2 linked regions of the Struthio camelus genome follow. The protein of the gene in region 1 interacts with the protein of each later gene in a biochemical or structural test. Links are inferred from orthologs where the notes say so. Each region holds a gene or a part of one and is shown on either strand. Other genes may lie near its edges. The genes, in order: SPTBN2 and ACTR1A.

Region 1 (15,054 bases):
CCGTCCCCGTGGCCGTGGTCACCCGGGGGGGGACCCGTCCCCGTCCCCGTCCGGGGGGGGGGGCCCCGCTCTCACCTTGCAGCTGCTTGAAGCGGCCCTCGAGGACGTCGGCGCTCGGGGAGAGGCGGGGGCCGGCGGGGGCCGCGGGGGGCCCCGGCGCGCGGTGGGCCATGGCGGGGGGACGCGGCGGCGGGGGGGACGCGGCGGCGGGGGGGACGCGGGCGCCGCGGGAGCCGGGAGCTCGGGCAGCGCCGGGGCGGCCGAGGGAGGCGCTGGGGCCATTTACATAAAAACAGGTTGGGCCGCTCCGGCGCGCGGTGCGTGTGCGCGTGGGTCTGCCTGTGCGCGCGTGTGTGCGCGCGCGTGTGTGTCTGCCTGTGCGTCTGTGTGCGTGTGTGTGTGTGTGTCTGCCTGTGCGTGTGTGTGCGTGTGCGTGTCTGCCTGTGCGTCTGTGTGTGTGTGTGTGTGTGTGTCTGCCTGTGTGTGTGTGTGTGTGCATGTGTGTGTGCCTGCCTGTGCGTGTGTGTGTGCGCGCGTGTGTCTGCCTGTGTGTCTGTGTGTGTGCGCGCGTGTGTCTGCCTGTGCTTGTGTGTGTGTGTGTCTGCCTGTGTGTGCATGTGTGCGCGCGTGTGTGTCTGCCTGTGCGTGTGTGTCTGCCTGTGCGTGCGTGTGCACGCGCATGTGTCTGCCTGTGCGTCTGTGTGTGCGCGTGTGCATGTCTGCTTGTGTGTGCGTGTGTGCGCACGCGTGTGCGTGTCTGCCTGTGCCTCTGCCTGTGCGTACGTGTGTGCGCGCGTGTGTCTGCCTGTGTGTGTGTGTGCGCGTGTGTCTGCCTGTGCGTGTGTGTGTGCATGCGTGTGTGCTTGTGCTTGTGCGCGCGTGTCTGCCTGTGCATGTGTGCGCGCGCGTCTGCCTGTGCTTGTGCGTGTGTGTATCTGCCTGTGCGTGCGTGTGTGCGCGTGTGTCTGCCTGTGCGTGCGTGTCTGCCTGTGCGTGCGTATGCACGTGTCTGCCTGTACGTGCATGTCTACGTGTGCGTGTGTCTGCCTGTGCGTGCGTGTGCACGTGTCTGCCTGTATGTGCATGTCTGCGTGTGTGTCTGCCTGTGCGTGCGTGTGCACGTGTCTGCCTGTGCGTGCGTGTCTGCCTGTGCGTGGCTGCGTGTGCACGCGTGCCCATGTGTGCGCACCTGCGCGTCTGCGCGTGCACGTCTGCGTGCGCGTGCGTGTCCACATGTGCCTGCGCGTGCGTGTCTGCGTGTGCACGCGTGTCTGCGTGTGTCTGTGTGCCTGTCTGTGTGGGCGCGCGTCTGGGGGTGGCAGGTGGAGCGGGGTCCCCCGGACAGGGGCAGCGGGTGGAGCGGGGTCCCCCGGACGCTGGGGCCCCCAAACGAGGGCAACGGGTGGAGCGGGGTCCCCCGGACGCCTGGGTCCCCGTCGCGCACAGGGGATCCCCCGGGACGCGCCAAGCCCGCCCGGACGCCGGGGCCCCCGGAACGGGGTGACCCCGCCGCCCGGCCAGGGGGCCCCGGCGTCCGGGCGCCCCCCCCCGCCGCCGCACACCGTACCGGCCAGCGCCTTGATGCGGGAGCGCTCGAAGAGCCGGGCCGAGCTGTTCTCGTTGTCCCAGTCGGCGGCGGCGGCGGCCGCGTCCCACCGGTTGTTGATGTCGTTGTACTGCTGCTGGATCTCCAGGCTGTCGTAGTCCGTGGGCGAGAGCATGGTCCCGGCCGCCGCCGCCGCCGCCTGTGGGCCGCCGCCTGTCACCGTCACCGCCGCGGGCCCAGGCGTCCGGGCTGCCCTCCCTCCCCCCCCCCCACCCGCTGCCGCTGCGCAGGTGCAGCCCTGCGGGGGAGGGGGGGGAGGCTGCAACCCCCTCCCCCCCCCCCAACCCCGGCTCTGCCGCATCCCGCTGGGGCCCAGGCGTCCGGGCAGCCCCCTGGGGACTCCTGCATCTGGGCAGCTCCCCAAGGGGCCCCGGCGTCCGGGCAGCACCCTGGGGGACCCAGGCGTCCGGGTGACCCCCTGAGGGGCCCCGGCGTCCGGGCAGCACCCTGGGGGACCCAGGCGTCCGGGCAGCCCCCCGAGGGGCCCAGGCGTCCGGGTGACCCTCTGAGGGGCCCCGGCGTCCGGGTGACCCCCTGAGGGGGCCCAGGCGTCCGGGCAGCCCCCTGGGGACTCCTGCATCTGGGCAGCTCCCCAAGGGGCCCCGGCGTCCGGGCAGCACCCTGGGGGACCCAGGCGTCCGGGCGACCCCCCAAGGGGACCCAGGTGTCCAGGCAGCACCCTGGGGGACCCAGGCATCCGGGTGACCCCCCGAGGGAACCCAGACATTCGGGCGACCCCCCCAAGGGGACCCGGCATCCGGGCAGCACCCTGGGGGACCCAGGCGTCCGGGTGACCCCCTGAGGGGCCCCGGCGTCCGGGTGACCCCCTGAGGGGACCCAGGCGTCCGGGCAGCACCCTGGGGGACCCAGGCGTCCGGGCAGCACCCCGAGGGGCCCAGGCGTCCGGGTGACCCCCGAGGGGCCCTGGCGTCCGGGCAGCCGCCTGGGGGACCCAGGCGTCCGGGTGACCTCCCGAGGGGCCCCGGCGTCCGGGGAAGCCCCACTGCCGCCCCCCTCCCGCAGCAGCTCCACACCCCCCCCCCCGCCCAGGGGCCCCGGCGTCCGGGCCCCGGATTACCGCTGAGCCCGGCCCGCGCCGCCGCCGCGGCTTATGCTCTTACGGCTGCGGATGAAGGGCCGCAGCCCCGATCCCTCGGCCCCCCCCTCCCCCCGCAGGGGGCTGCACACGCGTGTGCGGGGGCCACGGAGACCTGCCGGCACGGGGGGGCTGCACACGCGTGTGCAGGGGACATGGAGACCTGTGGGGGGGCTGGACACGCGTGTGCGGGGGCCACGGAGACCTGCTGGCACGGGGGGGCTGCACACGCGTGTGCAGGGGACATGGAGACCTGTGGGGGGGCTGCACACGCGTGTGCGGGGGCCACGGAGACCTGCCGGCACGGGGGGGCTGCACACGCGTGTGCAGGGGACATGGAGACCTGTGGGGGGGCTGGACACGCGTGTGCGGGGGCCACGGAGACCTGCTGGCACGGGGGGGCTGCACACGCGTGTGCAGGGGAACATGGAGACCTGCGGGGGGGCTGGACACGCGTGTGCGGGGGGACACGGATCCATGCATGCACGGAGAGGGCAGTCCATGCACACGTGTGCACACGGGGGACACGGAGCCAGGCGTGTAACGAGGGGAGTCTGTGCACGCGTGCGCACCCGGGGGACACGGCTGCGTGTGTGCGCGCAGAAGGGGGTCCAGGCGAGTCTGCGCGTGCCGAGGACACGGATACACGCATGCACGGAGAAGGATCTGGGCGCACACGCGCGCAGGGGGAGGTGGACGCACGTGTGCACGGAGAGGGGGGCCAGCCACGCGTGTGCACGCAAAGGCCACGCGTGTGCACGCAAAGGGGGCCATGCATGTGCACGCAGAGGTCACACGCGTGTGCGTGCAAAGGGGGCCACACGTGTGCATGCAAAAATCACGCGTGCATGCAAAAATCACGCGTGTGCACGCAGGATGTCACGCGTGTGCACGCAGGATGTCACGCGTGTGCCCGGAGAAGGCAGCCGGGAGCGACGCGGGTGCAGGCGTGGGGCGGGGGGGGGGACACCCAAACCCACGCGTGTCCGCGGGGCGCCGTGGGGCCGGGCGGGGGGCAGAGCGGCGGGGACGCTGCAGGGTGCAGCGGGGCTGGCGGCGCCGCAGTGCCGGGGCTGCGGCCGAGCCGGTTGTGGGGCAGGGCCGGGGGTGCTGTGGGGCTGTAACGGGGCCGGTTGTGGGGCAGAGCTGGGGCCGGTTGTGGGGCTGTAACGGGGCTGTGCTGTGGGGCTGTAACAGGGCCGGTTGTGGGGCTGCAGTGGGGCCAGTCAGGGGCCCCAAAGGATGCAGTGGGGCCAGTTACGAGGGTCCGCTATGGGGCTGCGGCAGGGCTGGTTGTGGGGCTGTAAGGGGGCTGGTTGTGGGGCAGAACTGGGGCTGCGGCCGGGCCAGAGCGGGACAGAGCCGGGGCTGGTTGTGGGGCTGTAATGGGGCCTGTTGTGGGGCAGTGCCGGGGCCGCTTGTGGTTCCCAGGGCTGGTTGTGCAGCTGTAACGGGGCCGGTTGTGAGTCTCGGGGCCAGCTGTGGGTCCCAGGGCTGGTTGTGGGGCTGTAACGGGGCCGGTTGTGGGTCTCAGGGCCAGCTGTGGGGCTGTAATGGGGCTGGCTGTGGGGCTGTAACGGGGCCGGCTGTGGGTCCCAGGGCTGCAGCGGAGCCGGTTGTGTGGCTGTAATGGGGCCGGCTGTGGGTCCCGGGGCCAGTTGTGCAGCTGTAACGGGGCTGGCTGTGGGTCTCGGGGCCGGCTGTGGGGCTGTAACGGGGCCGGCTGTGGGTCCCGAGGCTGCAGCGGAGTCGGTTGTGGGGCTGTAACGGGGCCGGCTGTGGGTCTCGGGGCTGCAGCGGAGCCAGTTGTGCGGCTGTAACGGGGCCAGCTGTGGGGCTGTAACGGGGCCGGCTGGGGGACTGTACCGGGGCCGGCTGGGGGTCCCGGGGCTGGTTGTGGGGCTGTAACGGGGCCGGTTGTGGGTCTCAGGGCCGGCTGTGGGGCTGTAACGGGGCCGGTTGTGGGTCCCGGGGCCGGCTGTGGGTCCCGGGGCTGGTTGTGGGGCTGTAACGGGGCCAGCTGGGGGTCCCGGGGCCGGTTGTGGGGCTGTAACGGGGCCGGCTGGGGGTCTCAGGGCTGCAGTGGAGCCAGTTGTGCGGCTGTAACGGGGCCGGCTGTGGGGCTGTAACGGGGCCGGCTGCAGGTCCTGGGGCCGGCTGGGGGACTGTAACGGGGCCGGCTGTGGGTCCCGGGGCTGGTTGTGGGGCTGTAACGGGGCCGGTTGTGGGTCTCAGGGCCGGCTGTGGGGCTGTAACGGGGCCGGTTGTGGGTCCCGGGGCTGGTTGTGGGTCTCGGGGCCAGTTGTGGGGCTGTAACGGGGCCGGCTGTGGGTCCCGGGGCTGGTTGTGGGTCTCGGGGCCAGTTGTGGGGCTCTAACGGGGCCGGCTGTGGGTCCTGGGGCCGGTTGTGGGGCTGTAACGGGGCCGGTTGTGGGTCCCGGGGCCGGTTGTGGGTCTCGGGGCCGGTTGTGGGGCTGTAACGGGGCCGGCTGTGGGTCCCGGGGCCGGCTGTGGGGCTCCGCTATGGGGCTGCGGCGGGAGGGGGGGGGCAGAGCCGGGGCAGGGGCCGGTTGTGGGTCCCGCCGATACCGGTACCGCTCCCGGTACCGCTCCCGGTACCTCCCGTCCCCGCCGTCCTACCTGGGCGCCGGCCGCGGGCTGCTGCTGCTGCTGTGGGTTCCGGTGCTGCGGAGCGGGAGCGGCACCGGGAGCGATACCGGTACCGCTACCGGTACCGGTACCGGCGGCGGCGCAGCCCGACAGCGCCGAGCGGCGGCGGCGGCGGCGGGAAGGGCCGCGGCAGACGCCGCCCCCCGCCGGGCCCCATTGGCCGCCGCCGCCGCCCCTCAGCGCCGGGCCCGGCCCCGGGGAACCGGCCCGGTGCCGCTCCGCGCCCCTCCCCCCCGCGGCGGGGGCCCAGGCGTCCGGGAGGGGCCCCTCCCCCCCCACCTCACCGGGGACGCGGCTCTAGGCCCTGCCGGCGCCCGTCGCCATGGCGACCGCGGGCCGTTACCGCCTTCCAGGAGCAGCCGCGGGGGGAGGGAGGGGCGGTTGCCATAGCGACAGCCCCTCGCGGAGGGGGGGGGCCTGCCCCGCTGCCCAGCGGTTGCCATAGCGACAGCCCCTCGCGCGCGGGTGGGGGGGGGAGTCCTGCCCCGCTCCCCCGCGGTTGCCATAGCGACAGCCCCCTTTCCCGCCGATGGGGGCCGAGGCTAGCTGTCGCCCGGGCAACGGAGCCCGACGCGGCCAATCGGAGGGGCCCGGAGGCGGGTCCTGGATGTGGGGGGGGGGTCCGTGTCGGCCCCGCCCCCGCCGGCAGGGGGCGCTCGCGGACGGGGTGTGGGGGGGGGGCGGATCATGGCGGACGGTGTCGTGCGCGCGGTGCGGGAGCGCGCGGGGCTTCAGGGGGTCCCTGAGGGGGACGGGGGGGTCCGGGGGGGTCCAGGGGTCCCTGAGGGCTTCAACGGTCCCTGAGGGGGACGGGGGGGTCCAGGGGGTCCTTGAGGAGGTCCAGGGGGGTCCAGGGGGTCCCTGAGGGCTTCAGGGGGTCCCTGAGAGGGATGGGGGGGCCCAGGGGTGGTCCAGGGGGTCCTTGGGGATGTCTAGGGTGGTCCAGGGGTCCCTGGGGTCTCAGGGGGTCCCTGAGGGGGATGGGGAGGTCCGGGGGGGGGGTCCAGGGGTCCCTGAGGGCTTCAGCGGTCCCTGAGGGGGACGGGGGAGTCCAGGGTGTCCTTGAGGAGGTCCAGGGGGGTCCAGGGGGTCCCTGAGGGGGACAGGAGGGTCCAGGGGGGTCCCTGGGAGCTTCAGGGGGTCCCTGAGGAGGACGAGGGCATCCTGGGGGGATTCAGGGGATCCTTGAGGCGGATGGGGGGGGTCCCCGGGGTCCATGGGGGCTTCAGGGGGTCCCTAGGGGCTTCAAGGGGTCCCTGAGGGAGCCGAGGGGGTCCAGAGGGCTCCATGGTGGGCCTAGGGGGTCTCTGGGGGCTTCAGGGGATCCCTGAGGGTTTCAGGGGGGTCCCTGGGGGGGATGAGGGCAGATTGGGGAGTCCCTGGGGGGGGGGGCCGCTCAGGAGGTCCCTGGGGATTTTAGGGGGTCCCTGGGGCCCTACACATCCCTGGAGAGGACGGGGAGGCCCTGGGGGGTTCCAGGGGGGCCCTCGAGGGTTTTATGGGGTCCCTGGGGGGGGGAATGAGAGCAGATGGGAGGGGCTCTGGGGGCTCCCACTGGCTCAAGGGGTCCTTGCAGGGGGTCAGGGGGCTTTTGCAGGTCCCTAAGGGCAATGGGGGGCCCTAGAGGGGTCTCTGGGGGGCCTTAGGGGGTCCCTGAGGGGAACAGGGGATCTCTGAGGGGTGTTCAGGGGGGTCCCTGGGGTCTCAGGGGGGCCCTGGGAGAGTCCCGGTGGGTCTTTGGGGGCTTTAGGGGGTCCCTGGTGTCTCAGGGGGTCGTGGGGAGGTTCAGGGGGGTCCCTGGGGTAGCAGGGGGTCCCTGGGGGGGTTGGGGACCCCCCCCATTCCCTGTGTAGGGGGGCAGGTAAGGGATTGGGGGGGGGGGCGGCCCAGGGAGCCCACCGCTGCCCCCCCCCCTCCAGGTGCTGGAGCGGCTCCTGCTGCGGCTGCAGCCGGCGGCGGGCGGCGAGCCGGGACGCGGGACCCTGCTGGTGGCCGTGGTGGCCGAGGGGGACGCGGGGGCCGCCGGCCCGGCCCGCTGCACGGCCACCGGTGCGTGACGGGGACGGGGACGGGGAGGGGGGGGGACACGCGCCCCGCGGGGCCCTGACGTTCGCTCCTTCCCTCCCGCAGTCGCCGCGGCGGGAGAGATCTGCTCCGCCATCGGCGCCGAGGGCATTTGGACAGGTAAAAACTTCCCCCCGACCACCACCACCACCATCCCCATCCCACCCCCGGCAAAAGGCGGGGGGGGGGGTCGGAGCCTCCTCCCCCCCGGCCCCCGACGCCCGTCTCTCCCTCCGGCAGGCGCGGACCACGTCCTGGCCCCGTGGGGCGCCCGGAGCGCCGCCCCGCCGCCCGCCGCCCCGTGCTGCCGGCCCGTCCTGGACGGCGCCCCGCTGCGTTCGGCCTTCGAGGTGCGCGGCACCCCCCCCCCCCGGGGACCCCCCCCCCGTCCCCGGCACGGCGCTGGCTGTCGACCTTGGAGCAAGGGGAAGCCGGGGACGGGCTGACACGGAGCGCGGCGAGCCCCAGGGACCCCCACCCCCCCCCTTTGCCGAAACTGGGGCGGGCGTTTAAATATAGCGGCCTCGTTTCTGCTGGCGGGTGCCGGTGGGACCGGGGCGGGCTGCCTAAAGCAGGTCACCGGGGCCCCGCCGCCGAGCTGGGGGGGGGATTCGTGCCCATCCGGCGGCCTCGTGTCCCCAAATCGGGTGCAAACGAGCAGGACGAGAGGCCTCCCGCTTTTTTCGGGGTGGGGGGTTTCGTTTTTTTGCCCCGTTAGCCCCTCTGCGTGCCCCGCGCCCGGCCGGCCCGTGCGACCACCGCTCTCTTCTTCGCCCCGCCGCAGCTCAACCCGCCGCCCGGGACGCTGAGAGCCGGCTGCGTCGCCTTGAGGCGCTTCATCCACGGCACGAGTGTGGTGCACCCGGAGGTGACGGCCCGCCGGCGGGGCGGCGCGGGGTCGCCGGTCCCCCCCCCACCGCCACCGCCAGCCAACCCACCCCGCTGTGTTGCAGCTCGCCTTCCACTACTGCTACCGCGTGGACGGCGCCGCGGCCTCGCGCACCTACGGGTGAGCGGGCTCCCGCGGTCCCTGAACGCCGCTCCGGCACCCCCGGAGCTCCGGCACCCGCTTCCCCGAAACCGGGGTCGCTCTTCCCCCCTCCCCGGGCCACGCCGTTTACATCGGCCCCGTTTCCGCTCTCCGCCGCCAGCGGGTCCGGCCCTGCGTGACGCCGCGGCTTCGGGCCGGGAGGCTCTGCGCCTCCGCGCGCCGGCGGGGGCCGAGGGGATTTCGACGCCGTTTCTCCCTCTTTTCCCCCCCTCCCCAACCCCGCAGCCCCGAGAGGCGGGAGAACATCTGCGAGCTGGGCGGAGCGCGGCTGCTCGCCCGGAGCGAGCACTTCGTGCGGTAAGGGCGGCCGAAGCTCGCGGAGAGGTGCCGGAAAACGGCTCGGCGGCGTCACAACGGCTTGTTTAAACGGCTTGTCCCCCCCCCCTCCCCAACCGGGGGGACTTTGCCTCGCCATCCCCCCCAAACGGCACCAGCCGAAAATCACCGGAGGCTCCTCCCGGCCTCCTCCGCAGGCCGCCCGCCGCCGGGGACGTGCCGCTGTGCCGCAAGATCCACCCGGCGCCGGGAGCCCCCGTCCGCCTGCGGACGCCGCCGGCCGCCGCCGCCGCCGGCCTCGGCGGGGAGCTGAGCGCGGTGCCGGCGGCCGCGCTCTGCCCCTGCCTCGAGCAGTACCCCAACGCGCCCTCCCGCCTCGCCTCCGTCTCCATATCCCGGCGGCGGCGGGGGCGGCGGGGAGGGGGCCGGGGAACGGGACTCGTCTCCAGGTGCCGTTCGCCGCCTTAACCGGCGCCACTTGTTCTGCTACGACCCGGCGGGGCTGCCGGCGGCGCGCGGCCGGCTCCGGCTCTTCGGCGACCCGGCGTGGCTGGCGGATTGGGGCAGGTTCGGCTGTTCGGCTTCGGCGGTGGCGGCGGTGACGGGCGAGGAAGGTGCGGGGACGGCGCGGGGTTGAGGTTGGCGGTGGGGGGGGGGGGACACGGCAAGGTGGGGCGGGGGCGGCCGCCAACCCGTTCGCCGCCGCTTCCCTTTTCCCCGCAGACCTGGCGGCGCCCGACGCCGCCTTCGCCCTGCGGCCCGGCCCGGCGGCGGACGCCGGGCGCCAGCAGACGCTGCTGCTGTTCCTCTTCATCCGCCGCGCCGACCCCTTCCAGGTCTACGACGCCTGTGCGTCACCCGCTCCCCGCCCGCGGCGTCCCCGCGGCGTGTGCGTCCCCCGCCGCCCCGTGACGGCCGCACCGCCGCAGGGACCCGGCACCTGCTGGCGTCGCACGTGGAGCAGACGCTGCTGGGCAGCCGGGCGGCTCTGCAGCGCGGCGTCCGGGCCCTGGTGCACCCCGTGCTGGAGGAGGTGGCCCGCCGGGCGCAGGTAACGGCGGGGACGCGGGACGCGGCCGCCCCGCGTCACCCGCCGCCACCGCCGCGTGCCGTCCCGCAGAGCCGGGCCCGCCTGGCCCGGGCCCTGCCCGTGACGCTGGAGGCGCTGAGCAACGTCGTGGCCAGCAGCAGCAGCGCCCGCTTCCGCCGCGCCTGCCTGCGCGCCCTGCAGGTCGGCCGGCCGGCCGGAGGGACGGGGTGGGGACGGCCGGAGGGACGCGGTGACACCCCGCTGCCCGCCCCGCAGGCGGCCGACGGAGCGGCGCTGGCCGCCGCCGCTCGGCGCCGCCTGACGGACGTCACCCGCCGGCGCCGGCTGCCCGCCGCCTCCTGCGACGCCGCCGCGGTGGTGGGTCCGGCCGGGGATCCCGCCACCGTCCCCGTGTGTGTCTCCCCCCCCCACCCCGGCTGTGTCCCCGTCACCGTCCCGCTCATCCCGGGGACGTTCCTGCAGCCCGGCCCCGAGGCGGAGCGGCCGCCGCCGAGCCCCGGGCGCGGGGCCACGGGTGAGACGAGCCGGCCCGGCGCTGCCCGCGTCCCCCCCCCCCAACCCCTCCGCCGCGGCCTCGTCCCCGTTTCCAGCCCGTTTTCACCCAATTTCCTGTCCCCCCCCCCCCCCCCCCCGCCGCAGGGTGCCCGTCGGACGCTGCCGGCGCGCAGGGAGGAAGGAGGAGGGCTGCCACGGCGGCGCCCGCCGCCCGGCCCCGGACGCCTGGGCCCCCGCCGGCGGGCCCGGCCGGCCCCGAGGCGGCCGCCTGGCTGCGGGCGGTGGCCAACCTGGCCGAGTGGACGCGGTGAGAGCCGGGGCGGCCGCCGGCCACCGAGGTCCCTCCCAGTCGGTCCCAGTTCCCCCCAGTCCCCCCTGCTCCAACTCGGCCCGCTTCCCCCAGTCGGTCCCAGTTCCCCCCAGTCCCCCCTGCTCCAACCCGGCCCGCTTCCCCCAGTCGGTCCCAGTTCCCCCCAGTCCCCCCTGCTCCAACCCGGCCCACTTCCCCAAGTCGGTCCCAGTTCACCCCAGCTGGTCCCAGTCCCCCCTGGTCCAGCCTAGCCTGATTCCCCCAGTTGGTCCCAGTTCACCCCAGCTGGTCCCAGTCCCCCCTGGTCCAGCCTGGCCTGGTTCCCCCAGTTGGTCCCAGTCCCTCTCAGTCCAGCCCACCCTGGTTCCCCAGTCCATCCCAGTTCCCCCAGTTGGTCTCAGTCCCCCCCAGTCCCCCTGGCCCAGCCCAGCCTGGTTCCTCCAGTCAGTCCCACTTCCTCCCAGTTCCCCCAGTCAGTCCCAGTCCCCCCACCCAGTCCAGCCTAGCCTGCTTCCCCCAGTCGGTCCCAGTTCCCCCCAGTCCCCCCGGTCCAACCCGGCCTGCTTCCCCCAGTCGGTCCCAGTTCCCCCCAGTCCCCCCTGCTCCAACCCGGCCCGCTTCCCCTAGTCGGTCCCAGTTCCCCCCAGTCCTCCCAGTTCCTCCAGCCCCCTCGGCCCGCCGCTCCAGCCCGGTGCCGGTGCTGGTGCCCGGTACCGGCTGCCCCTGCCCCCCCCCACCCCGGTCCCGGTGTCTGTTCCGGGCCCCTCCCGCTCGCGCTCTAGCTGCTAGCCCCGCCCCCTCGATGGCCCCGCCCCCTGTGTGGCTCTATCCCCGCCCCGCCCACCCGATCACCCCGCCCCGCCTGACGGCCCCGCCCCGTCCCCGCGTCCTTCACCCGATGCCCCCGCCCCCGCGCTGACAGGCTCCGCCCCCAACGCCGCCTGGCCCCGCCCCTCCCACGCCGCCCAGCCCTGTCCCGTCCTTGTGCTCCCCGCCCCTCCCCGGCTGGCCCCGCCCCCGCACCGCCCGGCCCCGCCCCCGCGCCCCCTGCCGCTCCCCGGCTGGCCCCGCCCCCGCACCGCCCGGCCCCGCCCCCGCGCCCCCTGCCGCTCCCCGCCCGGCCCCGCCCCCGCCCCGGTGCTCCCCGCCACTCCCCACCCGGCCCCGCCCCCGCGCCGCCCGGCCCCGCCCCCGCGCTCCCCGCCACTCCCCGCCCGGCCCCGCCCCCGCGCCGCCCGGCCCCGCCCCCGCGCCTCCCGGCCCCGCCCCGCCCCGCGCCGCGCCGCGCCATGGCGGTGTCGGAGGCCGCGGGCGGCTCGTCCTGGGCCGCGGCGGCGCCGGGCCGGGCCGGGCCGGTACCGGCAGCGGGTCCGGGTCCAGCCGCAGCCCCGGGAGCCGCGGCGGCGGCCGGGCCGTGCTGGGCCGCGCTGCTGGCCTGCCTGAGCCTGGCCTGCTCCTACGTGGGGAGCCTCTACGTGTGGGGCAGCCCGCTGCCGCGGTAGGGGGGCGCCGGGCCCGGGGCGGGGGGTCGTGGGGGTGGGTCCGTGTGGGGCAGGCCTGGTGCGGGGGGGGGCGGAGGTCTGGGGGGGTCTGGAGGGTTCTGGGGGGGTCCATGGGGCACGGGGGGGGTCTATAGGGGTCTATGGGGTGCAGGAGGGGTCTGTGGAGGGAGGTGGGGGGTCTGGGGGGGCCATGGGGCATGGGGGAGGGTCTGGGGGGCACAGGAGGGGTTTGGGGGGGTCTATAGATGTCTATGGGGTGCAGGAGGGATCTGTGGAGGGAGGTGGGGGGGTCTGGGGGGTCCATGGGGCACGGGAGAGGGTCTGGGGGGGCACAGGAGGGGTTTGGGGGGGTCTATAGGGGTCTATGGGGTGCAGGAGGGGTCTGTGGAGGGAGGTGGGGGAGTCTGGGGGGTCCATGGGGCACAGGATGGGTGTTGGGGGGGTCCTAGGATGTTCATGAGGCACGGGGGGGGGTCTGGGGGGTCTAGGGGATCCTGGGGGGGGGTCCTGGGGGGCCCATGGGGCACAGGAGGGGTGGGGGGGTCCTGGGGGGGTCCATGGGGTACAGGAGGGGTGGGGGGGTGCTGGGGGGCCCATGGGGCACAGGAGGGGCCTGGGGGGGTCCTAGGGTGTTCATAGGGTACAGGAGGAGGTTTGGGGGGCTCTGGGGGGCTCTTTGGTGTATGGGAGGGTGCAGGGGGGCTCTATGGGGCACAGGAAGGTGCAGGGGAGCCTACAGGAGCCCAGTCCTGCTGGGGGGGGCCTTGGGGGGGGGGTCGCACCCCCTCTCCCCCCTCCCTCCCCCCCCCCCCAGCTGACCCGCCCGGGGCCGCAGCGACCACCCGGCCGTCATCAAGCGCCGCTTCACCAGCGTCCTGGTGGTGTCGGGGCTGTCGCCGGCCTTCGTGTGGCTCTGGAAGGAGCTGACGGGCGTTAAGGTGAGGTCGGGAAGGGGCCCCGGCGTCCGGGAAGCGATTTTAAAGGGGTGGGGGGGGGCGCTGACCCCCCTCCCCTCCGCCATCCCCTTCCCCGCTGCTGCCGCTCAGCCAGACACGCCGCTGCCGGCGCTGCTGGGCCTGCGCCTGGAGGGGCTGGTGCCGGCCACGCTGCTGCCGCTGCTGCTCACCATGGTAGGTGGGGGGGGGCGGGACGTGGGGAGGGGGCTGCTGGGACCCCCCCCAGCACCCCCTTGCTTTGTCTGTGCGTGCGCTCCCCCCCCCCCCTTCCAGGTGCTGTTTTTGGGGCCCCTCATCCAGCTCTCCATGGACTGCCCCTGGCGCTGGCTCGACGGCCTCAAGGTGCTCGTCGGTAAGGGGACGCGGAAAGGGGTTTGGGGGGTGCTGGGGGGGGGCTTGGTGGGGGAGGGGGGGGCCGGGCGGGTGCCAGCGCCGTCTCCCCGCAGACCCCCGCTTCTGGGCGCTGTGCCTGAGCGACGTGCGCTGGCTGCGCAACCAGGTGGTGGCTCCGCTCACCGAGGAGCTGGTCTTCCGGGCCTGCATGCTGCCCATGCTGCTGCCCTGCGCCGGGCCGGGCCCCGCCGTCCTCGCCTGCCCCCTCTTCTTCGGCGTGGGTGAGCCTGGACCCCCCCGGACCCCCCCGTGTCCCCTGCGTCCCCCCCCAGACCCCCTGCGTCCCCTCTGGATCCCCCTGCACCGGGCCGGGCCCCGCCGTCCTCGCCTGCCCCCTCTTCTTCGGCGTGGGTGAGCCTGGACCCCCCCGGGACCCCCCGGACCCCCCCGTGTCCCCCCCGGATCCCCCTGCGCCGGGCCGGGCCCCGCCGTCCTCGCCTGCCCCCTCTTCTTCGGCGTGGGTGAGCCTGGACCCCCCCGGGACCCCCCGGACCCCCCCGTGTCCCCTGTGTCCCCACCATGTCCCCTGCGTCCCCCCTGGATCCCCCTGCGCCGGGCCGGGCCCCGCCGTCCTCGCCTGCCCCCTCTTCTTTGGCGTGGGTGAGCCTGGACCCCCCCGTGTCCTCTGTGTCCCCCCCCGTGTCCTCTGTGTCCCCCCCCGGACCCCCTGCGTCCCCCCTGGATCCCCCTGCGCCGGGCCGGGCCCCGCCGTCCTCGCCTGCCCCCTCTTCTTCGGCGTGGGTGAGCCTGGACCCCCCCGGGACCCCCCAGACCCCCCCGTGTCCCCTGCGTCCCCCCCGGACCCCCTGCGTCCCCCCCGGATCCCCCTGCGCCGGGCCGGGCCCCGCCGTCCTCGCCTGCCCCCTCTTCTTTGGCGTGGGTGAGCCTGGACCCCCCCGTGTCCTCTGTGTCCCCCCCCGTGTCCTCTGTGTCCCCCCCCGGACCCCCTGCGTCCCCCCTGGATCCCCCTGCGCCGGGCCGGGCCCCGCCGTCCTCGCCTGCCCCCTCTTCTTCGGCGTGGGTGAGCCTGGACCCCCCCGGGACCCCCCAGACCCCCCCGTGTCCCCTGCGTCCCCCCCGGACCCCCTGCGTCCCCCCCGGATCCCCCTGCGCCGGGCCGGGCCCCGCCGTCCTCGCCTGCCCCCTCTTCTTCGGCGTGGGTGAGCCTGGACCCCCCCGGGACCCCCCGGACCCCCCCGTGTCCCCTGCGTCCCCCCCGGATCCCCCTGCGCCGGGCCGGGCCCCGCCGTCCTCGCCTGCCCCCTCTTCTTCGGCGTGGGTGAGCCTGGACCCCCCCGGACCCCCCCGTGTCCCCTGCGTCCCCCCCCAGACCCCCTGCGTCCCCTCTGGATCCCCCTGCACCGGGCCGGGCCCCGCCGTCCTCGCCTGCCCCCTCTTCTTCGGCGTGGGTGAGCCTGGACCCCCCCGTGTCCCCCCGGACCCCCCCGTGTCCCCCCCGGACCCCCTGCGTCCCCCCTGGATCCCCCTGCGCCGGGCCGGGCCCCGCCGTCCTCGCCTGCCCCCTCTTCTTCGGCGTGGGTGAACCTGGACCCCCCCGGACCCCCCCGGACCCCCTGCGTCCCC
Region 2 (15,059 bases), on another chromosome or scaffold:
GAATGTCTGAAGCTGGTCTTTTGAATACACATACTGCCAAATGCGCTCCATGTCATTCCAGTCCTTCACTATGCCATGTTCCATCGGGTATCGGATCGAGAGGAGACCTCTGTGCTCCTGCCCAAAAGGAAACATGGACACAACATACTTGTCAGAGACACTCAAACAATCTCATTTCTGAGCGTTACAACTATGATTTAATCTGACAGACTCACTTATTTTCAATATCACTAAATGAGAGCATGACATGTCTGTAGGGTAGTACAGGGCAAAGACTGGACTTTACCCATTAACACCTTTCCCAGAGAAGTATTCGCAGAGGTTAAACAAGGCTCTTTTTCCACCAAGTGGGAAGGTCTGGTGTCTGCAGAGCACATTCCATCCCAACAGTTCAAGTCATTACACGGACACCCATCAAATGGCATCTTTGTTCTACCAGCTCAGTCGTAACAGGGTGGTGGTGGGGAATGTAGTTCAGAGGGCTCATGGGAAAGGTGAGACTTAATAACTGCATGCTGGGAAGAGCAGGACTGTGGAAAGCAAGCTTCTTGCCCAGACCAGGGGGATGAAAGGCAACTAGGATCCAATCTGAAGTCCCCAGTCAAGAAGATGGGGATGTAGCCACAGAGACTGTGAAGTAGCCTAGAAAAAGGAGAGCTATAGATGGACTTGAGAAGATGAAATGAGACTGAGGGAAAAGGTCTCTGATCAAGCTTGGGACAGGAATTTCATGAAGCTCCCTGCTTCAGCTTGAACACACTTAAAAGTGAGATCTGTTCTGCTCGTCATATCTACAATGATGCCAAACAACCACATCCCTTTTAAGCATAAGTGCTACAACTCCTTACTCAGAGCAGCAAACTGAGATAATATGGATAAGGCAATAAACAGAGTTTCTTACCTCTGCTTTTGGACCAATGAAAATGTCCCCTTCTAAAGCACCAGCCATAACACGAACGTGCTTTGGTCTGCCCACACTAGAACAGAGGCAAGAGTATTAATGCTTTTGGAGCGAGAGGCCAGCTGTACTCAAGGATTAACTACCTGATGTTCCGCTGTGCATTGACCAGTACTTTCAGCAGTAATGGGAGACTGAGGGCACTACTAGAGGCAGATAGACAGATCCAGGTTTGCTCTGGCCTAAATTAATCCCTGAATCAGCAGGACATAAGCCAGCTCAGTCTAGCCACACTTGCCCTGATGATTCAGGGCTTATTTGTTCCAGCGATGCCTGGGGCGAACATGGCTAGATCGAGCAAGGGCCCGAGCTGGTAGATCCACATGGTGTTGTTTGACCTCAGGTAGGCTTCTCAATTAGGTATTTATAGCCCCATACTCCATTTCACTAAGCAGACGAGTCTGCATTGCTCAGAATACAAATATACTCATTTAAAAAAAACATCAAATTAAAATAAAAGCCAGTGACTACTCAGAATTCCTGATCCAGCAATCTTTCTTCCAGTAAAACTTCCAGAAAATTTTCAAGAAAGCATGGCAGGGATCAAGAACCCAGATCACACACTGAAGAACTATAAAGGGCTTCACACCTCCCATGCCAACACCTCCCATCCCAACTTCATTTTGCCCTTTTTTTTGACCACCTAGCGTCTCAAGGCTAAAGAATCCTAAAGCTCTGGTCAGGTACTGAACCTGACAAAGCAATATATAATCTTTCATAACTTTTTTCAGAAAAATCTCAATGTGCTCAACAGCGATCTCTTCTTCCTGACACACAGGCACATTCTGCGCAGCAGGAAGAACTAGTTTAACTAATTTCTCCAGTTAGGACCATTTTGACCATTCTTCCCCACAAAGTGTCACAGAATCGATACACGGTATTACTAAGAACTCACCAAGGCCAGTGGAGTACTTACTAGTTTGGAAAGCAGTATTTTGGTATTTGATCACCCGCAAAACCTGCTTTAATCACACCTGAGCCCTGTGGGAAAAACAGATAATGTGTGAGCTTATCACCCATTCAGTCATCTTCACAAGTTTGAAAAGAGCAGCAAACTACATCAGACTTGCCAGATCCTCTCCTTTTTATCAGCAATAAAGCTTCTTGTGAATTCTCCAAGCTGGGTTGGGGATGGGAAGGTGCCAGTATGCCAGCTTGGCCACTAGAGGGGACTAACTGGCACCTTCCCTGGCAGCAGCACAGCACCTCCAGTCTGATCACCCCAGGGTGCCCAGTACTGCTCAGTGTGCGCACCCCAGAGCTGCTCCCAACAGACAACAAACATTTTAGTCCCCAGTGCTGTTGCTTATATGAAGTGCTAGGGATCCAGGAGGCCCACCGGGCTAAATCCCAGCTCTGCAGTTTTCCAATTTATCTTAAATGCTCTCCGGGTAGAGAAGAGCATTTCATAAAGTCTAGCAACAGCAGCCAAACCTTGACTGTCTGGATGGCTCCAGGGGCTACTTCTAAGAAGGGGAGGATGGAGGTTGTAGGCTTCTCAGAAGAAGCAGATTTGGAGAAGATGGAAGGAGGGTAGATAAAGTCAGAGAAGGGAGTGGGAAACGATCATGTGAAGCAGGTTGGAAGGAAAAGAAGTTCAGGTGGTGGACAAGCTAGAAAAAGCTAACGAGGCAGGTCATGGAAGTCCGATCAGAAAAAGATACTGGAAACTAGACTGGACTAGGGTCTGGAAGCAACAAAGGTCCCGGTCAGACTGCAAGAGGAAGGGCTGGAGGCAGGAAAAAGCAGCTGACAGGATATGGCTTATTTGTTTAAAAGGGACAAGGAAGAAGAGATTAGAAGACAAATTGTGTGGTACAGCAGCCAGACAGGAGCGACTCCCAGAAGCCTTCTGGAACTTGCAAAGTAGTGCAAGCACCAAACACAGAGCAAGTTAAACCAGCTGCAGAGAGGCCCTGGCAGGGAGTAAGCGCTGAGCACCTGGCCCCACAGCTTCTGTCCCTGTTGGTATCATCTAGAGGGATCCTGGGAACCCAATAATCAATGTATGTCTGTGCAGACCCCTTCTCCCTCCTCCATTTCCCCTCCTTGCACAGAGGAATGACACCTTGAAACAATGATCAGTGCACAGGAACACACAAGTTTCACTGAGGAGTGGACTTTCATGGGACCTCCTCAGATAAGTCATTTCACTGATAACCCCAAACTACCATGGGCGCGAACTCTTCTGCAGAAAGGGGAGCAGTTCATTTTTATCCTGTACTGGGAGCGAAGCATGTGAGTTTGCATTAATGAAGTGCTTGTTCACTCTCAAGGATTCAGCAGCAGGACTGCTCTGTTTACAAAACCAGAAAGACATTTTGGCTGCCCCACAGCATTTTAAAATGAATAGCAACATAGCTCCTCCATGACTCTTCCCTTCTCACCACCTCTGTGTGGGTCAGCATCACTACTTTCACTCACAGGTCAAACAACCTGCTCATGGCTTTGCCATAAAGACTCTGGCAACTCTCGCTGCAGTGGTTTCTGACCCATCTATCCCAGCTCCCTGCCCCACGCCAGGGCCAGAGGTTACCAGCCAGAGCAGGCTCAGCACAAAGAAATGCAGCCAGCCCCAGCCTCTCCAGTTCACAGCCCTGCGCCTTATTCACCGGTCACTTTTGTCAGCAGTTTCAGCTGAGGTGCCAGGCTTCGTACAGACCGTGCGCGCTCTGCCACCAGGGCTGGGCAACCAGCTGGTGCAGTCCTGCCTTAAAACTGCCAGTGAGATTTGCCAGGACCCATCTGTGAGGGACGAGTATCAGGAACACTCTGCAAGCCAGACGCAGCTAGTTATAGAAGGTATAAAAGCAGATAGCTTGAATCCTCGTGCCCTGATAACTGCCTGCAGCCACGCTGGCTCCAAGGGCAAACCAAGCTGGTACCAGGGCAGGACTACTCCCTCTAGGCAAGGAGGACTCCGCTCCAGCTTTCTCTTCCAATATCTATACTAACATGCACAGATGTGACAAAGCGGCCTGTAAAGTGTTAAAAGTCATCCTTTTAGACGAACTCTCTTCTGGCTATTCACTTCAAAGCGAAGTAATGATTCAAGAACACAAAAATACTATTCCGAGTTTCCTCACCACAGTCTGTAAACAATCCTTATACCTGAGGGGAGGGGAAAAAAAAAAAGTCATCCTTTGTTAAGCCTCGTAGCAAAAAGTTGAATCAAATGCAGGAACAAAACCACACCAGAATATTGTGCTTATTGAATATCTCATTCCAGATAATGACTGATCTTGCAGCCAGCACAGCCTGCTGCTGGGAAGTAGTTTCAGGAGAACAATGATGCTCCTATTTTAACAGGGCAATCAAAACTTCCTTATGCCAGGCCAAAAGTTACCCATAGTGTCCTGGTGAGATTCCCAGCAAGTTACGCATTTTTAGATTTACATATTGAAGTTCAAAGTTAACCAAATGTGTCAGTAGTTCAGAATGCTTAGCTGGAGTTAAAGAAGAATGACTTTTTGAATATGCCGGTAGGACAGAACTCAAACACAGTTGCACTTCCAAATGCCTGGGAATAACCCAAGCACAGCTGTTTGCTCTCCCCGCACTACAAAGATGTGACAGTGCTTTCTGACCTATTCAATTTTCCTTGAAAACATTTTACTTCTTTGAAGATGTGTGCGTACCGAGTAAAGCTATTTATTATTGCCCAGTTTGAGATTCCCATATAACGAGAGGAAAAGGTTTAAGTGTTGAAATGACTCTGGCTGATTGAAAAAGTTTAAAATAAAGATCCGTTTTTTTCCTTTCTTTCAAGTAACCAAATACCATGCATCCTCGCTTCTGCTAGAAGTTCTGATTTATTAAAACTTAAAAGAACTCCAAAATTAACATCCTTCCACCAGAACATATCCTGGTTGGGCTTTCATCCTGTATGATTTTTTTTGTTTTTGTATCTGAGCAGAAGAATGAAAGAAGAAAGAAATTACATTAAAAAAAAAAAACTTTAAGATGCTCCTGAGAGTTTTCCTTGAGACTGTCTTCCTTCACCTTAAAGTACCTGAACATGCCCCTTCTGCTAGCTCTGCAGCTGACTCAGTTATTGATTCATTCGTTTTCATTCATGTGTTTAGGACACAAATTTAAATGGAAATTACCAAGAAAGTCAATCTGCTGTGCAGCACTTTTGATGAGGCAATTACATTTCATATTCTTACAACACTATTTTACTAGAGGCTCATTTCATAAGAACAAATGAAAGATACAATACTCTGTAGTGACAGCTCAACTGTTTAAAATGATACCACTTAGATGACAAAGCCAAATTTTATCCTCTTTGATATAAGTGAAGACAATTCCACGGAGGTCAAGGAATTTGCACTTGCTTAGGCCACAGCTGAACTATGCTATCTCTTAACATGTTCTTTATGTCCATCGGGTCTCTCAAGCCATTTGTTTCAGTGAGAACTTCTTGGAGTACAAGATGGGAACGCAAGTCTTCTTTTAAAAAAAAAAAAAAAAAAACTTACTGGAAAAGAAGGAATGTTAAGGCTGTACTGCAGGGAAGCTCCAAGCTCTAACTGTACATTGCAAAACTCTCTCCGTTGGAAATATGAAGCTGAGCTTGCTGTTTGGCATGAGAAAGTCTGATCCAAGTTTTAGCCACATTCCTTGATGTCCCTTTGGAACACACTGAGATACTAGAGCAGGGCTGGGACCAGCAGGATCCGGCTTGTTTACGAGCTCAGTCTTCATTTTCCCCTTCCCACCCTCCCATACACATAAGAGACGGGATGACATTCAGCCTTGAAAAGTCGCCTGCAACACTAAGGAAAAGCATTCACGAGGCAGCACGAACAGCAGTACTTTCTCTGTGCAGCTTCCACTTCCCGTCTTGCCTTAACTCATGAGAGTACCAAAAATGCAATGTCACCACGAAGCTCTGCAGCTGAGAGTTTGCCAGCATTAAGGGCAGATCGCACAACTGCTTCATTATACCTCTTGTACGGGAAAAGGAAGGGGAAAATTCATTTATCAGAGAGGCAAGAAGAATTATTAGCTTTTATAAGACCAGCTGATAAAATGAGAAAAGAAATGGACCAGTTTTCTAGCACGAGCCCTTCTTCAGAGCTGAAGCAGGGACAACAATCATTGCACTGAGTAATGCAAGGACAGACTGAAATTAGATATGGGCTGCTATATGACTTCTCGCAACAAACTCATCCTCACAACGCCGTTACACCTGGAGAGAACTTAAAATGCTTAGCTGGTCACCCAGCACCACAGCAGGGTTGATATTACTCCAGCTAGTTTTAAGAGCATCAACCTAACTTATTCTTTAGTCTCCAATAAAGAAAGTGCCATGTTTTTCTCAATGCAGTCTATTCTGCTGCTTAATTTTCTTCTCCATTAGACAGTTCTCTTTGATGTCTAACCTAAATCTCACTGCTGCAATTCCAGAGGAAGACACAAGAACAAAACTGTATCAGAGAGCTCAAGCGGTAGAGCGGAAATTGGGATCAATAATAAAGAAAGAAAAGGTCAGAAGAATAATTGGCTTGATCCTAGAAGACCTACATTCACTCAGCTCATGAAAAAAAGGACTAGGTTGAGAAGTGCCAGGGTAGCAAGTCCACATGCCACACGGCAAAACGATTCAGGAGTAAATAAGATGATGGAGAAAGGAGGGAGCACAAGCACTGACCCTTTGAAACAGGAAAACCTGAATCACTGGCAGCAGAGGTCAGGAGGGAGGAGTATGAATGTGTGACTCACTACACTGAGTGAGGCTCCCTCCGAACTACCCCATGCCTTCCCTCCTCCCAGCCCTTCCTGGATAGTCCGTCCTCTTGGGAGGCCAGTCTGGATGGGGACTAACCAGAACTGGACTCAGAAATATCTCCTCAGCGCATGCAGTCACCCTCATTCACCTCATACGCTACCCAGCCAGGCGGAAGCTCTTCTTTGAGCTAAGGAGGGGCACCATCCGCCCGCATCAGTCACCTGCGGCACCACGCCCCACTGTCAAAGCCAAGCTGATGCAACCCACGCAGGGAGCGGCCCGCCCAGCAAGCCCGCGTGGGCACCCGGCGAGGCGGCGGTCCGGGGCTGGCGCCCCGCCGGCTGCCCTGCCGCCGGGATCTGCTAGGGCAGCGCCGGAGAAGAGGGCGCCCCCGGGCCGCCGCTCCCCATTGTCCCCCAGGCACAAAGAGGAGGACAAGGCCGGGGGGGGGGGGGGAATCCCGAGCCGCTCCTGACGGACAGCCCAGCCAGCCAATGGGCACAGGTGCTCTCTGCAAGGGTGGGGCGGGACGCGCCCCGCTGAAGCAGGTACTAGCGGGCTGCCCGGCCGTAACTGACAGCCGCGCCAGCCAATCGGGCCGCTCCGCCATCGCGGGGACCGGGCACCTCGGCGGCGGCAGGGACCGCTCCCTACCGGCGAGAGTAAGCGGCCCTGTGACGGGCAGGCCCCGGAGCCAATCGCACAGCGGGGGAGGCCGGCGGCCCCGCCCACCGGCTCAGCACGCCCGCTGGGCCCGGCGCCGGGCGAGGGCCCAAGGCGGAGGCCGAGCCGGGGGGGCTGCCGCGGGGGAGCGGGCCGGCGGGGCGGGGCTCCGGTGACAAAGGGATTCCCGCCCGCGGCTCCTTCCCGCCTGTTCGCCTTGTCCCCAGGGCGCGCAGGGCCCCGCACTCACGTTGTCTATCACGACGGGCTGGTTCGCTATCACATCGTAGGACTCCATGGCGAGGACGCGCCGCAGCCAGCAGCCAGGCAGCAACAGCCCGGGCCGCGGCGGCGCATGCACAGAAGGGCGGCGCGCAGCCGCCTGGGAGATGTATTCCCGAGGAGCGGTGCGTGCTGGGAATTGTAGTCTTCGTGCCGCGCGGCGCCCCGAGGCCTCACGGGAAGTGCCGTCAGGAGAGGGGGCTGCTGGGAGATGTAGTGCCGGGTGGGCCATGCCCGCGAGAGCCCCCGGCGCGATCGCTTGCTTCGAGGATGACAAACCCGCGCAACGGGAGGAGAGAAAAGCAAAAAAGAAACATCCAAACCCTTGAAGCTGCCTTTTGACACAACTGAAATGGAAGTCTGAGAACCCTTTGGTTTTATTTTGTTCCTCCTTCGTGCATCTTTGCAAGAAAAACGCAGAAAAATGCAGCCGCGCCAAAGGCACAGGGCGCCTGCTGCTCTGCCTCTGGGAGCAAATGCTCCAGAGAAAAAGAAAATATACCATTGTGAAATTCCCTACCCACTGCTAGGTGTATTCCCAAGCCCATCAGTAATAAATTTGCTTTCAAGTGTAAGTGATAACTGTAGTTAATTAAAAAGCAGATTTTCCTAACATTACCCATACCATTTTGCAACTGTTCCTGCCGTCTCTTGGTACTCTTCTACTTACTGACGTCTGCGGTTGTGCATTCTAGGGGTTAACTATCTTCTTCTCTGAAAATTTATCAAATTTCAATTAACCACTTTTCAGTTGAATAGATTTTTTTTTTCAATTTTTATACTAGCAGAAAAACAAACAAAAGATGACCCTCTATAGAAAGAATATCACTATAATAAAAGCATTCTGCTGCTAGTTATTTGATGAGACCATTTCAGTAAACTGCTGGTCATAGTGCATCAGTTCTCTCTGAACATCAACTAGTTTCTCTGTATTTTTGAGATGTAGCAAGCAGAAAAGGAGTGTTGGTACCAAGAACATACGTAATAGGCATTCTCACATTAAATAATATGCTCACTGTTGTTTTCCATTCATTTTCACGTTCTCTAAAAACATTCTGAATAATTGATGATTGATCATGACACTAAAACGACATGTTTGCAAAGTATACATTGAACTCTGAAGTGCATTTTAACTAACGTCAAGGCCCGGTGTTGTTATTCAAAGCCAGTAAATGTATATGAAAGCTATTTCAGAACTAGCCCATCTTGCCCCCTATCTCTCATGCAGACGCTAAGACTTTTCTTCTGTGATTTTTGCCTCAAACCCAAGCAGATACTCTCATCTCAGCTAACTATCTTGTTTTAGTAATTTTTATCCTTCATTTAGTGCAAAAGAACTTTATTTGGTACGACAGGATGGAGGGTTTTAAATTATTTCAAGGACAGTATTGTATCACCTCATTAAATGCCAAGAGAGACTAATTACGTATATTAAGCCAACAAAGTATTTCATACATGATTCTGTTTGTCATATTTATCTTCTCAGTTGACTATAACTGACTTCTCAGATGGATGTCACAAAAAGTGGTATCACGGTAACAGGACAAGTGAAATACTGTTATTGCAGGAAGCAATGATTCATGAAAATACCAGCTGCTCACCTCCTTTCCTGGTATAATCATCTGCTTGTCTCTTTGCCAACTTCTTGACTATATGTGATCACCTAAAAGGTATGTTGTGAATATTGATTTTGGAGCAAAGTCTCTCCAACTAATTAAGTGAGAAACACAACAAGCAGGAGCACTCCTTCTCACCTCCCAGTGCTCTATAGCTCAGTCTTCCCCATGTTGATTAAAAAGCAGTACACCGCTCCTGCAAAGACATATAGGGTTCTTGAACACATGCAAGCTCACATATACACACAAGGAAGGCTCTGCAGGACCACAGATGTAGCTGTAACCCAGGAAGAGGCCAGACCTCAGCGCCCTGAGCATGCAGGGTAAAACCCTCGATCAGACATCCCTTGCGCTTACATTGCTTAACAACAGCCTCTGAGGTACCTAAAATAAATAAATAAATAAATAAATAAATAAATAAATAAATAAATAAATAAATAAATAAAAGAAGGGGTGAAAAAGGTGCTGTAAGAATTGGTGAAAACAGAGGCCTGCCCCCCCCCCCCTGCCATGGGGCTCCCCCGAGGCCTGCCCCACAGGGCTCCCTTCCCTTGGGCTCACAGAGGAACCTGCAACCTCCACTCCTCGGCCCTGCACGGCACGGCTGCCCTTCCTCACCCCGACCCACAGCTCCCCTCTGGGCCCCACAGGTCCCCACATGGCAGCTCAGTACCTCACCCCTCCCCACATGACTCCATAACTCCCCGTATGCAGGTCCGGACCTCACCCCCGCTCAGACCCCAGAGCTGCCTACATGGCAGCTCTGTATCTCACCCTCCCTTCCTGCTCAGATCTTATATCTCCCCATACAACCCCACAGCTCCCCACACAGCAGCTCTGTACCTCACCCCCCTCCCCACAGGACCCTATCGCTCCCCACAGGGCCCCACAGCACTCCACACAGCAGCTCTGTGCCTCACCCCCCCTCCCCACAGGACCCTATCGCTCCCCACAGCTCCCCACACAGCAGCTCTGTGCCTCACCCCCCCTCCCCACAGGACCCTATCGCTCCCCACAGCTCTCCACACAGCAGCTCTGTGCCTCACCCCCCCTCCCCACAGGACCCTATCGCTCCCCACAGCTCTCCACACAGCAGCTCTGTACCTCACCCCTCCCCACAGGACCCCATCGCTCCCCACAGGGCCCCACAGCACCCCACACAGCAGCTCTGTGCCTCACCCCCCCTCCCCACAGGACCCTATCGCTCCCCACAGCACCCCACACAGCAGCTCTGTGCCTCACCCCCCCTCCCCACAGGACCCTATCGCTCCCCACAGGGCCCCACACAGCAGCTCTGTACCTCACCCCCCCCCCACAGGACCCTATCGCTCCCCACAGGGCCCCACACAGCAGCTCTGTACCTCACCCCCCCCCCCACAGGACCCTATCGCTCCCCACAGGGCCCCACACCCCGCCACACGCAGCTCTGCGCCTCACCCCCCCCCGACCCCGCAGCCCCCCACAGGGCCCTCGCCCCGCCCCCGCGGCCCCGCCCCGCCGCCGCCGCTAGAGGGCGCACGCGCGTCTCCCCGGCGCGGCGGCGGGGCGAGGCGGGGCGCTGAGGGGGAAGAGGCGTAGCCGCCCCGCCCCGCTCGGCAGCGCCATTGGCTGAGCCGCCTGCCACTCACGGTCTCCGGGGCAGCGGGGCCCGCCCCGCCCCTCCTCCCGCAGCGCCGCGCCGCTTGGGCCGGGCCAGGCCGGGTCGGGTCGGGTCGGGCTGGGCGCGCGTCGGGGCCGGGAGCGGGCGAGGGCCGCGCCGGGAGCAGCCGCCGCCTCCGCCGCGCCGTCCCCCATGGAGGGTGTGCGGCCTGGCGGGGGTCCCCCCGCCGCCGCCGCCGCTGCCGGCGGGCCGGGCTCGGGCTCTGGGTCCGGGTCCTTCCCGTCGCTCTTCCCGCCGGGGCTGCACGGCATCTACGGCGAGTGCCGCCGCCTCTACCCCGACCAGCCCAACCCGCTCCAGGTCACCGCCATCCTCAAGTACTGGTGAGGCCGCCGCGGCCGGCGTCGGGGGGGGTGGCTGGGGGCCTCGTGTGGCGTTGGAGAGGGCTCAGGGGGGGCATTGGGGCTGGGGGACGTTGCATGGGGTTGGCGGGAGTTTGGGGCCCGGGGGGGGGGGTTGGAGTGACAGTAGTGGGGCTGAAGGGTGTTTGGGAGGGAGCAGTGGGGTGCGGGGAGGCAGCCGGTGGGGTGCAAGGGGGCGGGGGAGGGAGGCCCTGGAGAGCAGGGGTCTAGGGGACTGGACTGAGGGTGGGTGATGTTATTGGGGTTTTTAGGGTGATGTGGAGCTTCCCTGAGCGAGGGATGGGGGCTGATGAGGGTCTTGGCTGGGGCAGAGGCCATGGGAAAAGTTTCCCTCAACAGAGGGGCTCCCGCAGAGAGCTGGGTGGTCCTGGCGTGTCTCCTGCCGAACACGAAGCGCAAACTCCTCTTCTGACCTGGAGCCTGGGGTACAAATACGGCCAGAGTTGACCAGGATGAACCTGCACTCTGGCCTCCAAACCAAACGCGTGCGGTGTGTGCCCATAAACCCCCCCCCCCACCCTGGGAGAGAATCAGCTTCTTTTGCCCTCGCAGAGCCACGTGTTGTCGTAGGCTGAGGATCTGCTGCTTCCCATCGCTGCTGACACAGTGTCTGACACCAGTAACAGCAGTTGTTTATGTGGGAGAGTGGCACGAAGGAAGCACTCGGATGTTTAGCTATCGAGATAAGTGTCTAGCGTCTAGCCCTGTGGGAAGAGGAGTCCCTCATGCTTTTTACTATAGCTCTGCTGTTCAGCCCCCTCTTCTGGACCCAAGGAACACGATCAGGTCACCACTGACTGTTTCCTGGCCCTGACATTGACCAATCTCTTCCAGCACTTTGAAAAAGTTTAGCAAAAGCTCAGCTTCTTTATTTACAGTAAGTTTTAACCTGTGTGTGTCTCTATCCCGTTGTTGCATCCTAAGCAGCAACAGAATAACATCCTCCCTGTGTTCTGCTCTGACAGGCAAGCCGTTGCTGATGTCTTCCAGATGAGTGTTGCTCCTTATGAGGTTCCGGTCAAGAAATGTAGCTGTTAGTCCTCATTAAACTGGCATAGTGGACTGAGACAAGGAGATCTTGCAACTCTGTGATTTTGGAATAAAAATTACTTCTTAATCATTCATACAGGCCAGTACTGTGGTACTTCAGTGATGGTCAGCTCAATTTGTGTAGGCACTTGCAATATCTAATCTTAGATATTCAAGCTTCGTGAGTCTTCCAGTCATTTTGGTTTAGGAGTCAACAGCTTAAAATACTACTGGCAAGAGTGACGTAAGATATGTACGGGATGGAGGGAGTTTTGAGTCTATAATGAGGAATGGCAGAGACCCTTGTTCAGGAGGAATCCTTGCTTCCTGTTTGCTTAAGGGGTTGATTAGGACCTCATTGCATTTGGGAGCTCAAACACTGGAAAAACTGCTATTGGCAGTGATGATAGGTTGCATGCAAGAAGTAATATGAAGGCCTGTTTATACTAGCATTTTCTGCTTAACGGTTCTTCCTACTGTCATCTCAGCTGGCAGTGCGAACTGAGAGCTTCTGTCGCAGAATCTCAGAGGTGCCCTTACTGCTGCTGTCACATGCAGGAAACTTATGTGAGGTCAAGTATGCATGTACTTTGCTGAGACTTTTTCTCCTTTTGTTGGCAAAGCTGGCAAAGCTAGGAGGTTGGTTTTGTTAAGTCTGATAAATGAGTTCTGCCACCGCTTGCTCTCAACTAGTCTATCCTCCTTTGCTTGAGCTGTGAGCTATTACATGGTTTAAATTGAAAAAGGAAATTGCTGAACAAAGTTTCTTGCTGTAGGAGAAATACTATAAAGCTAGTCAGCTTTTAATAACACATATCAGTTTCTCTACGGTTAGCAACAAGTTTTTGTTCAGGGAGTTGAAATTATATTCTTGGGCTGACATGGCAGAGCATATGCCTTACTTCATAAAGTTGGAGGATCCACAGAGTCACATACATACCTGTTAAATGAAGGGATTTGGCCGTACAAATGATTTCATGAAATTAGCAGATCTTTTTTTAAAACACCATTTGCATATCTTGGAAGAGAGTTCTTGATTGCAGTCAGAGCTTCTTGCAAAAGCTCCTGGCTGTGAAAGGCTACGCTCTGAGAAGGAGTTAGTTTCCGTTGCCATCTAATACCAGTGTTTGCTTTTAAAATGTGGTTGAATGCCTCTGAAGTGGAATATCTTGATGCGCAGAACTACAAGTGAAAAAGCAAGTTTATACTTCCATTACTTTGTGATAGGTTTTGAATTACATAGAATTCAGGCAGGACTGTTGTTTTTTCATCATCTGCCTTGAACTTGGGCTGTGTAGTTGAAAAGCAGTGCTCTGACCTGTGCTCTGCAGCTACTTGGGGATCATGGACCATTCCTGAAGGGCTGGCAAAAGGTGGTGGAGAAGAAAAGACCTGTTGTCAGCTGCTGGAAATGGTTATAAAGGATCCCCTGGAGACTTTTCAGGGTGTAAACAGATTGGGGATTTCCCAATGTTTTTCTCATTGTGGAGCTGTTTCCCCTCTGCCCACTTTGGGTTTCTGCTCCAGCAGAGACTTCAGAGCACTCTTAACATCAGTCAAAAGAAGATTCTTCATGCAGATACAAATACCGTATTTCCCCTGAGGCTGCCCTTCTTGCTCCTAAATGAGCTCCATGAGTAGAGAATGTAGCAAATTTGTACTGTACCTGTAGCTTTGAAGTTTAGCTCTTCTGAATAAAATCCTCCAGCCCTTCTAGCTCTTTGTATGTATGTACAATATGTAGATATGTAGATTGTGATACGAGGTTGAACAGCGCTGTAGTGACTGTAGGCGGGAGGATGTACCAGAGCAGGCATTAGCAGTGCCTGAGGAGGTAGTGTAGCAGGCAAACCTGCCCATGAAACTGGATGAATATCTGTGTTGACTAGCCTTGGCTGAGCTCTGCTGCCATGGGTACGTTACTAGCTGTCCTCCTGGTAACTGGCTTAAAGCTAGTGCTAGGTGCTCCTGTGGTTGTAGTGATTTCAGCATAGCTCTATGGCATGCTTATGTATTTTTTTAAATAGGTTACTGCTGCAGACTTTTTACTTTATCTGAATCACTTCCAAGCCTACCAGATTTCGTGGGGAATAAACGTGGTCCATCTGGATTACTGTGTAGTGTGTAAGCTGGTATGTGGCTAGCTGACCAGGTCTGCTCTACACAAAGCAGAGCTCAGCTCTCCTAAGGCAGTTGGTGCAGTGTCTTTGCACCTGGATCTTGGGTAGTTTGATGCTGCTGATCCCATGAGAGGTGTGATGTTTTTTTGAGAAGTACAGGGTTGCTTGCGGGGATGAGGGAGGGATGTCTGGCTTGCCTAGTGCAGTCTAGGAAGAATTTGCTCACTGTTGCGTCTGATTGAAGAATGCCATTTGAGAAGCCCTCAGGAAGAGCGTGCTTGCAGAGAAGTCCCTGCCCTGAAAAGGGGTCAGTTAAAGGTTTATTTGTTTTGTGTGTTGTCAGAGTGTCAAAATGCCTTGTGTCAGCAAACAATGTTCCAGTGTGAATCATCTGGTGTCTAGGGTGTTATTAAACCCATTTTGGGAGCAGGTTTTATGCACGCAGGAGAAACTTGTTGTGTAGCAGGTGGAGGTGTTTTCCCCTCACTGCAAATCCTATTCATCTGCTCCAGCCACTAGCTAACCTCCCACACTGTTTTGCTGGTCATTATATTGACCTCTCTCGCTCTGGAGTCTTCCCAATCAGGTAACTTTGCATAATTGTGCATGACTGTTGCCATTCACGAGGAATTCAT

What was found.
Region 2: the proteins of SPTBN2 (region 1) and ACTR1A form a complex in vitro, tested with the Homo sapiens proteins (2 studies listed by BioGRID). The link is inferred for Struthio camelus from reciprocal best matches to the Homo sapiens genes SPTBN2 and ACTR1A.

What each region holds. Positions count from the first base shown.
Region 1 is NC_090976.1:454,038-469,091, forward strand, and holds the start of SPTBN2 (spectrin beta chain, non-erythrocytic 2), read right to left. Parts: upstream 5,487-15,054; 5' UTR 5,343-5,486; intron 1,746-5,342; 5' UTR 1,722-1,745; coding exon 1,568-1,721; intron 1-1,567. Other genes in the region: RCE1 (CAAX prenyl protease 2), read left to right, coding at 11,909-12,117, 12,957-13,059, 13,168-13,251, 13,351-13,429, 13,524-13,691. UniProt on the Homo sapiens protein: Probably plays an important role in neuronal membrane skeleton.
Region 2 is NC_090948.1:15,728,938-15,743,996, reverse strand, and holds the start of ACTR1A (alpha-centractin), read right to left. Parts: upstream 7,798-15,059; 5' UTR 7,654-7,797; coding exon 7,606-7,653; intron 1,940-7,605; coding exon 1,875-1,939; intron 978-1,874; coding exon 902-977; intron 118-901; coding exon 1-117. Other genes in the region: SUFU (suppressor of fused homolog), read left to right, coding at 11,046-11,236. UniProt on the Homo sapiens protein: Part of the ACTR1A/ACTB filament around which the dynactin complex is built. The dynactin multiprotein complex activates the molecular motor dynein for ultra-processive transport along microtubules.